2 separate regions of the Mus musculus genome follow, and region 2 is reported to be linked to region 1. Evidence: microRNA targets listed by miRTarBase, many of them from high-throughput screens and not tested one by one. Region 1 holds a microRNA gene; the other region holds the end of a gene's coding sequence.

Evidence for each region. Region 1 holds the annotated microRNA mmu-miR-495-3p (AAACAAACAUGGUGCACUUCUU, at 2,498-2,519, shown strand). A microRNA usually pairs through its seed, bases 2 to 8, with sites in the 3' UTR of a target mRNA and lowers its output. Matches are read on the target gene's strand: a 7mer-m8 pairs with bases 2 to 8, a 7mer-A1 pairs with bases 2 to 7 and ends in A, and an 8mer does both.
Region 2: the mRNA of Set is a reported target of mmu-miR-495-3p. Seed matches in the 3' UTR shown: 7mer-A1 at 1,510-1,516.

The regions. Positions count from the first base shown.
Region 1 is chr12:109,716,298-109,720,363 of GRCm38, forward strand. It overlaps Mir495 (microRNA 495), which reads left to right and starts at 2,457; the gene lies at 2,457-2,519. Mir666 (microRNA 666) reads left to right here and starts at 788; the gene lies at 788-886. It overlaps Mir543 (microRNA 543), which reads left to right and starts at 961; the gene lies at 961-1,036. Mir667 (microRNA 667) reads left to right here and starts at 3,709; the gene lies at 3,709-3,800.
Region 2 is chr2:30,070,256-30,074,321 of GRCm38, forward strand. It overlaps Set (SET nuclear oncogene), which reads left to right. Exons shown (of 8, transcript NM_001204875.1): 6 at 1-100; 7 at 186-332; 8 at 664-2,322. The coding sequence ends at 687. Among named protein-coding and RNA genes, the nearest start is that of Set, 5.8 kb to the left of the region's middle.

The DNA of each region.
Region 1 (4,066 bases):
AGTCCTCATCAATGGAAAAGGTATGTCATGGTGTTCTGTCTGAAAGAATATATTATATTTTCATGTGTGTCCTTCTTTACTAATGCTGAGTATGCCTTCCATACCTAGGACGACCTCCTGATGTATTGCTACCCTGGGGGTGAAGGTGGCTTCCTTGCCCCTCCTCCAGGCTCCTGGCAAGTGGTTCTTGCAGCCATGGCAGAGACATAGAAAGTAAGTAGGAACTCTCCGACTGAGATTAGGAACTACTGTGATTCTGCTCATGTTTCATTGGTCAAGCCAATGAAGGGTGGGGAGGTGCCCTGTAGCCATGTCATGAGGGAGAGAACATGTGTACAAGCATAGGCAACCAACTATCTACCTGGAACACCTAAGAAGTCTATCTTTATTCATGTTCTTTTTTTTTTTTAATCTCAATGTTCCATTTCCCAGCAAGTGGAGGGTCAACAGAATCTGTTCTCAGAACACCACATGCCACTTACATATATTTTTGTCCAGGAGACATTGTCTCGTTCTGACAAAGGCTCAGATATCTTTTTGTTTCCCATTTCATGATAACCTCCTTGCATCAGGGCCTCCACCGTGGAACATAGGTTGATGTCCTCCCCTCTAGCAGATGGGTGGTGACCTCGACTGAGAGGTCACGGGACCCACCTCCTCTCTTGTCACGGATCCAGAGCTGGACTTTGGGAAGCAAAGTCAGGATTATTATATCATTCTCTGATGTTTGAGGAGACTCCAAAGACCTCCCCAAAGGATGACCAATCCAAAGCCTGTCTACAAGATCCTGATTCTGCCTGCGTGGAGCGGGCACAGCTGTGAGAGCCCCCTAGGTACAGCGGGGCTGCAGCGTGATCGCCTGCTCACGCACAGGAAGTGACGACAGCGGTACTCAAGCCACAGGAAGTGACGACAGCGGTACACAAGTGGTACACAGGGTTCCATGCTGCTGACGTACGGTGCTTAATGAGAAGTTGCCCGCGTGTTTTTCGCTTTATATGTGACGAAACATTCGCGGTGCACTTCTTTTTCAGCATCCTATTCTACGTTGAAGACTTCGGGGGTTCAACTACTTACTGACTTCAGGGAAGCCATGTTAGTCTAGGAAAGTAGTCTATGTAGTGAGCCTGGGTTGTGTGAGTTTATCTCCCTTCTTGAATGGTCCTCTGACCTTTCTTAATGAGAATGGGTTTGGGTTGGTTGGCTCCTGCTCCCTCCTCCCTCCTCCACAACACAGTGTCAAAGGAACCAGTTGACCAGACATTATTGATTCCTAGATGAGACCTTAGCCCACAGGGAGATGTTTGCTGAGACTTCTGGGAGGGGAATGAGTCTTCATTTCTGTGAGAGATGTCTGAGTGGATCTCACTGTTCCCTGAGTTTGAAGGCCAGCTAGAATTCAAGAGGACAGTACCCAGGGCTGTTTAGACAGAGGGGGAAGTGCCTGTCCCAGAGGAACCATGGGACATTTGAGTAACAGTACAATCTGGGACCTGCATCCGACACTCCTTGAAGCTCAACACGTCACTGTACCTTTAAGTTATATTAGCCTGGATGCCTCCTTTGTGTGTAAGTCAGCTTGAGGTGGGCCTTTCCTTACTATGAGAGGAATGGATGGCTCCTTGTTGAGTGGCCTGTCAATGAGTGTAACTGGCATTCTTTGGATGGTATGTTCTCTTGCTCATTATTCCCATTGTCCAGTCTAAGGTAGGTAGTTGGTACCAAGTCACTTTCCTTTGTGGTTCAGATATATTGCTGTAGTGTTGTAACCTTCCAGTAACGGTAACACACACTAATCAATGCGTTTTGTTTTCAGGGAAGGGTCGGTCATATGTCCCGTTCAGGACAGCCGCAAGATGATGAACGGACATTGCATCCCCAGACATCTCACACGCTCAGAATCCTGGAGCCTCCCATTTCAACCTGTTCTTCTGCTTCCCAGTACCCTGTGAGCTCTTTGTTGTATTTGTCTACATCGTAAGTCACTTCTGGGTGCGGGAGAGGGGGGACCTCAGAGGGCATCATCCAGGCACTCACACAGCTGGTTTAGGCTGCCCTGGATTTTGCCACCTAGTTCTTTGACTTTTTTTTTTTTTCTCAGCTTCAGAAGAGGATCCTGGAACTGAGAGAGGAGATTCTGTCTTGGAGTTTGGCACCATCCCATTTCCCCCGAGTGACACTTCAGAATGACTGGCAAGGATGGTAGGCAACATCTCAGAATCTTCAGTCTTCGTCCCAGGTCTTCCTGAGATCCTGAGGTAGAGGGGGTTTGGGCTGGATTGCTATGGCAGTGATGAGTACTGAGCCACTCCCCTTGCCTCAGGACCCCCATCCCTGTCCCCCTCCCGGCCAAGTATCTGCCTCACCCACCATCCCTTCCTTCCGCCTGTCCCTCAGCATCCCTTCACACTCAGGCACACTGCTGGAACAAGCAAGAGCTCAGCCGTGGTACCTGAAAAGAAGTTGCCCATGTTATTTTTCGCTTTTATTTGTGACGAAACAAACATGGTGCACTTCTTTTTCGATATCAAATCTCACCTTGGAGAGCTCCCCATGGACCAGAGGGAGGACGGGAGGCCAGGGGGTTTGGGTCACCATGTGCACAGGGGCATTTACCTCAAAGAAGCACAATTTCACCTGCCCCTCTTGGCTCTGTGCATTGTTAGGTCCAGAATGCCCACCTCCTGGGACAGGCACAGTCAGTAAGGGAAACCAGGAAGCGCACTTTTAGGCTCTGTTGTAGGATGGAGTTCAGATAAGAGAAGCCCAGAAAATTATAAAATCCAAACAATAGCAATTTAATCAAACAGCCAATACAAGCCAAACCACCAATTCCTTCTGGAGACATGTGTCTAGATGTCAGCTGCAGGTGTCTTTACCAAGATATGTCAGTTGGTGAGTGTCACATAACACTATGACTCTAGAAAAGCCTGGGCCCCAGATCAGCTCTTTACCAGCATCCTGCCATGTCTACGGGCTGTGCTCTTTGATGCCATTAGCAAGGCCTTGAGGACTGGTGGGTGCTGGCTACGATTGGGACCAGGGAACAGCAAGCTGTCATCAGCCACTGCTGCCTGTCTCTTATCTCTGATACTGGTACCCCTGCCCTCTGGAGTGGTAGATGTAAGGCGGCACTTCAGACCCCTTTTCCCTAGTGAACTTCTCTTTATGGCTAACATTCTCTGGTAGCCTCCTCATGGCATCAAAATTGCCTTTGAGTGTGGTTGTTTGAGCAGGGCCCTTTGGTGGCTCTCTTGTGAGAGTGGGAGGGAGGATACAATCCAGAGAGTATGAGAACACCTCATCCATCCATCTCCCCTGGAGGGTTTCCGAAGCTGAGCCAGTACAAGATATGGGATCACTCTTAGGCAACCCTTTGCTAGGATACTAGCTATTTCTTTCTTTGCTCAAGTTGGAATAAAAGCTTTGTTTATACTTACGTGGCTCAACAACCATAGCGCATCAAAACCCAGTGCAAACTCCATCTAAGAGGTACCAGGATTAGCCACACACTTAGCTCTTAGTTTCTACTGGCTCAGTGATGCCCTTGGGCTGTGGCTGTACCTGTGTTTTGGCTTCTGCCTATAAAAGATGGAAACACCTTTGGAAAAGCAGCAACTCTCCCTTTATACCCATGGAGAAAGGCTAAGGGGCATGGAACAAGCATGGTCAACCCATTTTCTTAGGTTGAAAATCCCTTTCCATCTAGTGGGTACTGGCCTCGGTGCTGGTGGAGCAGTGAGCACGCCATACATTATATCTGTGACACCTGCCACCCAGCCCAAGGCCCCTAGGCCCACAAACTTCTGGAGGGGAGTTTGTCTTGGATTCATCCAAGGAATGCAAAGGACACCTGGACAGAAATGCCTCTGGTGGTCATCCCAAGGTAACCGGACTTGTTCAGTTCCATTTCACATTTAGCTTTGTGCTTTATTGGCAGGCTTCTAAGGGCTGCTATTCACCCCTACATCCCAGGTACGTATAGGCCCAGAGGGAGCCTTCCATCTTTGAGGGTAGAATATTCTCTGGGCACAATACCTCACCAGCTGTCTTTTTCACAGGAGAA
Region 2 (4,066 bases), not on the chromosome of region 1:
CTTCTTTACCTGGTTTACTGACCATTCTGACGCAGGTGCTGATGAGTTAGGAGAGGTCATCAAAGATGACATCTGGCCAAATCCCTTGCAGTACTACCTGGTGAGTAAGCGTCAGTGGCTTGAAAGAGGTAATGTGTCCAATAGAATGAATGAGTCCCTAAAAGAACATTGCCTGCTGCTCTCAGGTTCCCGACATGGATGATGAAGAAGGAGAGGCAGAAGATGATGATGACGACGACGAAGAGGAGGAGGGGCTGGAAGATATTGATGAAGAAGGAGATGAGGATGAAGGTGAAGAAGATGACGATGAGGATGAAGGGGAGGAAGGAGAGGTAAGGAAGGAGAGGTACACCCAAGCCCCAGTATTTATAAAATATAATGTGTGATAGGGAACTGGCTGGAATAGTGGGACAGTTGTGGGAGTGGAGTGTTAACATCTGAGTCTTCCCTCTTTTTTAAATGTAATTATATATGTATGGGTGATTATGTATGTGTCTGCACTGCATGATTCAGAAGGTGTAGGATCCCATTGGTTTGAGATTGTGAGCCGCTGTGGGTCCCTCCACATCAGTGCTAAGTTAATGAAGATTCCAGTTTAGGCTGGGAGAGCTGGTGAAGGGCAGGGTGCGTGCGCTGGAGGCTGACTGCTCCTTGTTCTTTCAGGAGGACGAAGGCGAGGATGATTAGCACAGAAGACTGATGGATTCCAACCTTCTTTTTTATTTTCTTTTTATTTTTTAATTTTCTCCAGTCCCTGGGAGCAAGTTGCAGTCCTTTCCTCCCTGTCCCTCTGTGCTCAGTCGCCCTGTTTTGAGGTCTCAACATCATGGTTCTCAATTAATTTGGGGGGAAGTATCTTGAGCAAAATACAACAGGAAAAGAATCTCCGTTTCTGTTCTTAATTCATTTTTTATCCTTTCTTGTCTAAATTTGTGGATTCCACACCACCATGCTCTGTGGGAAAAAAGAAAAGCCCTCCAGTTCCCTTGGCTCTGCTGGAGGGCGCTAGGCCCCTGTGTAGTAGTTTATAGAATTTTAGCTTTTCTTCTTTTCTCTGTATATTGGGCTCAGAGATTACACTGTGTCTCTATGTGAATACAGACAGTTAGCATTTACCAACATGTATCTGTCTACTTTCTCTTGTTTAATAAAAAGAAAAAAAAAAAGAAAAAAAGGGGGGGTATAGACGGTGAGCAAGGGTGGGTTTGAGGTGTCTGGGGTAGGTGGGCATCTGACAACATGGCTTCTCCTTTGGCATGTTTAATTGTGTGGTTTAACAGACATCCTTGCAATTTAAGGTGACACTTAAAATAAAATTCTCTCCTGATGATGACTTGAGCCCTGACACTCAATGGGAGAATCAGCAGAACCTGTATGGTTTTATTTGGAGTTGACATTCTGTTGTAATTTTAATTTTTTTCTTTTTCTTTTTCTTTTTTTTTTTTTTTTTTTTGGTTTTCACTGGAAGGAAAAAGATGCTCATTTTAAATGTTGAAGTGTACAAGTTGCTTTGTTACAATAAAATCAGTGTGTACACAAAGGACCTGATGCTTTTCTGTCAACAGATGCTCAACAGACCTTCCAAGTTTGACTGCATAATGACATCACGTCAAACTTTGTCTCCCCAACTTCGTATTTTTTGATACGCACTTTGCAGGATGACCTCAGGGCTGTGCAGATTGAGAAAGGGATTTGAATCATGTCTTAACGTCTCCGTACTGAGTTGTGGGCACAGCTTGCTGCTGTGGACTTATACCCTTGATTTTTATCTCAATTTGGCATTTTCTTTTTAAAATGGGCCTTTACCCGGACCTCACGGCAGCACCTACCTGCTCCCACCGTTACTGACCCGTTGCTCTGTGCCATCTATGAGGGACAGCCGCTGACGTGTCCTCATTGGCAGTGTGAACTGTCAGGGTCAGCAGTCAGTGAGGTGGTTGGTAGTGTCTGTCACAGGTATGTAGCAGAAGCTCTCAGATGTGAGACTGACGTAGGTGGATGAAGAGCTGTCTGCTCAGCGCCATCGGGCAGAGGATAATGTTTGGGAAGCTACCTGATGCGTAAGCTTTTTAATGCTGTAAAATAGAGCTAAAATTCAATGCCACTTTTTCAGAGATGATTAATGGACAGCCTGGTCAAATTCAAAGCTTTCTGATGTATAAAACTTTATAAATGGAACTACTCCATCAATAGGCAAAGTGTAACCAAAATCTGTCTAGATGGATAGTGTGTAATTTCTGCACAGGACTCTGTTTAGTAAATACATCACTGTATACGTCAGGAATCTTGCTCCAATAAAGGAACATAAAGATTTTTTTTGGACTGGGGTCATTCTCCTTGTTTTGTAGTGACTTAGAAGATGCAGTCATGGCTGGGGTTCAAGTGATACTGGCTTGGCAGTAATCAGGGCCCAAATGGTGTGCAGAAGGTTGGTTGTGGACACCAGATTCATAACCATTTGACTCTGCATGTGGTTGGGGGAGGGTGCTGACCTAAATGAATACTGACCCCAGGAGAGAGAGTATATGTGTGTGTGTGACAAAATAGAAATAGCATTGTATCACTGAGCTATGTCTCTACACTCCCTTTTGTTTTTGTATGTGTGTGGGTTTTGGGGAATATGAGCTTCCCATCACCCACTGCACTGCGGTCTTCCTTATGTGTGCTCTGTGTGATTATTTGTATGAGTATTTTGCTTGCTTGTATGTCTGCAAGAACAGTTTTCTGGAAGGACGGGAGAGGGAGTTAAAAGTCCTTGGGCCTAGAGATTCTAGTTCCCCTGCTATTGTTACTATCTCACATAAGAATCAGGTGAAGCCATGCGGTAGTGGTGCACGCCTTTATTCCCATCGCTTGGGAGGCAGAGGCAGGCGGATTTGTCAGTTTGAGGCCAGCCTGGTCTACAGAGTGAGTTCCAGAGAACTACACAGAGAACCCTGTCTCGAAAAAAAGAAAATCAGGTTGAAGTAAGCCAAACCTGGGTTGTCATGAAGGGGTATATGAGACAGGGAAGGGCTAGCATAACAGGCCACATTGCTTAGCTACTGAGCTCTCAGACTGGGTGTGGGAAGTTAAGGTTTCATTGTTTTAAAATAAAAAATTTAGCTGGATGGGGTTGTGCATGCTTTTAATCGGTGGTCTAGTAACAGGCATGTTGAGAGGGTGACTTTCTGCAGCTGCTAGTGAGCTGCTTCCCATCCCAGTTCCAAAGCAGCGTTCCCTGTAGAGCATAGCCTGTGGTTGACATTCCCTGTAGAGCATAGCCTGTGGTTGGGTTGACATGACTGGGGCAGACACTGGAGGCTCTGCGTTCAAGGACATCTAGAGCTGCACAAAGCTCTGCTTTGTTTTGTGGGAGCCTGGCCTACAGAGTTCCAGGACTGCCAGAGCTACAAAAAAGCACAAGTTTAAGCTTTGGTATCTTTGGTTTTTTGAGACCTGGATGTCCTGGAACTCTAGACCAGGCTGGCCTCAAATTCACAGAAATCTGCCTACCTCTGCTTCCCAAGTGCTGGGATTAAAGGCGTGCGCCACCACTGCCCAGCTTGGAAAAAAGGTTTTCGATAACACCACAGCCCTGTGAGTACATCTGTAATGGGACCTGATGCCCTCTTTTGGGTGTGTCTGAACAGCAACAGTGTACTCACCTGTAAATATAAAGTCTTTTAAAAAGTTACTTTGTGTATGTGTGTTGGTGTTGAGTTTGTGTAAAATGTCTGAGCATATGCCCTGTAAGCGGATATTCCCTTGGCGGGGCCACTGGAGCAGGACAGTATTTGTGAACCACCTAATGGGTGGTAGGATCCAAACACTCAGACTCTGGTATACAGATGCTTGTAACCACTGAGCCATTTCCTGAGCACACACCCACATTTAATTGGGGATGGGTGGTCTTGTGTTTGTTTGCATATCTTTTGAGGTGTCTATATCCTGACTGTTCTAGGAATTTGCTATGTAGACCATGCTGGCCAGGTATCCAGAGATCTGCTTTCTTGAGTGTTGGGATTGAAGGCATGCTCTACCATCCCCATCTCTAATTTTTATCAGGTCTAATGGGTTGCAGTTA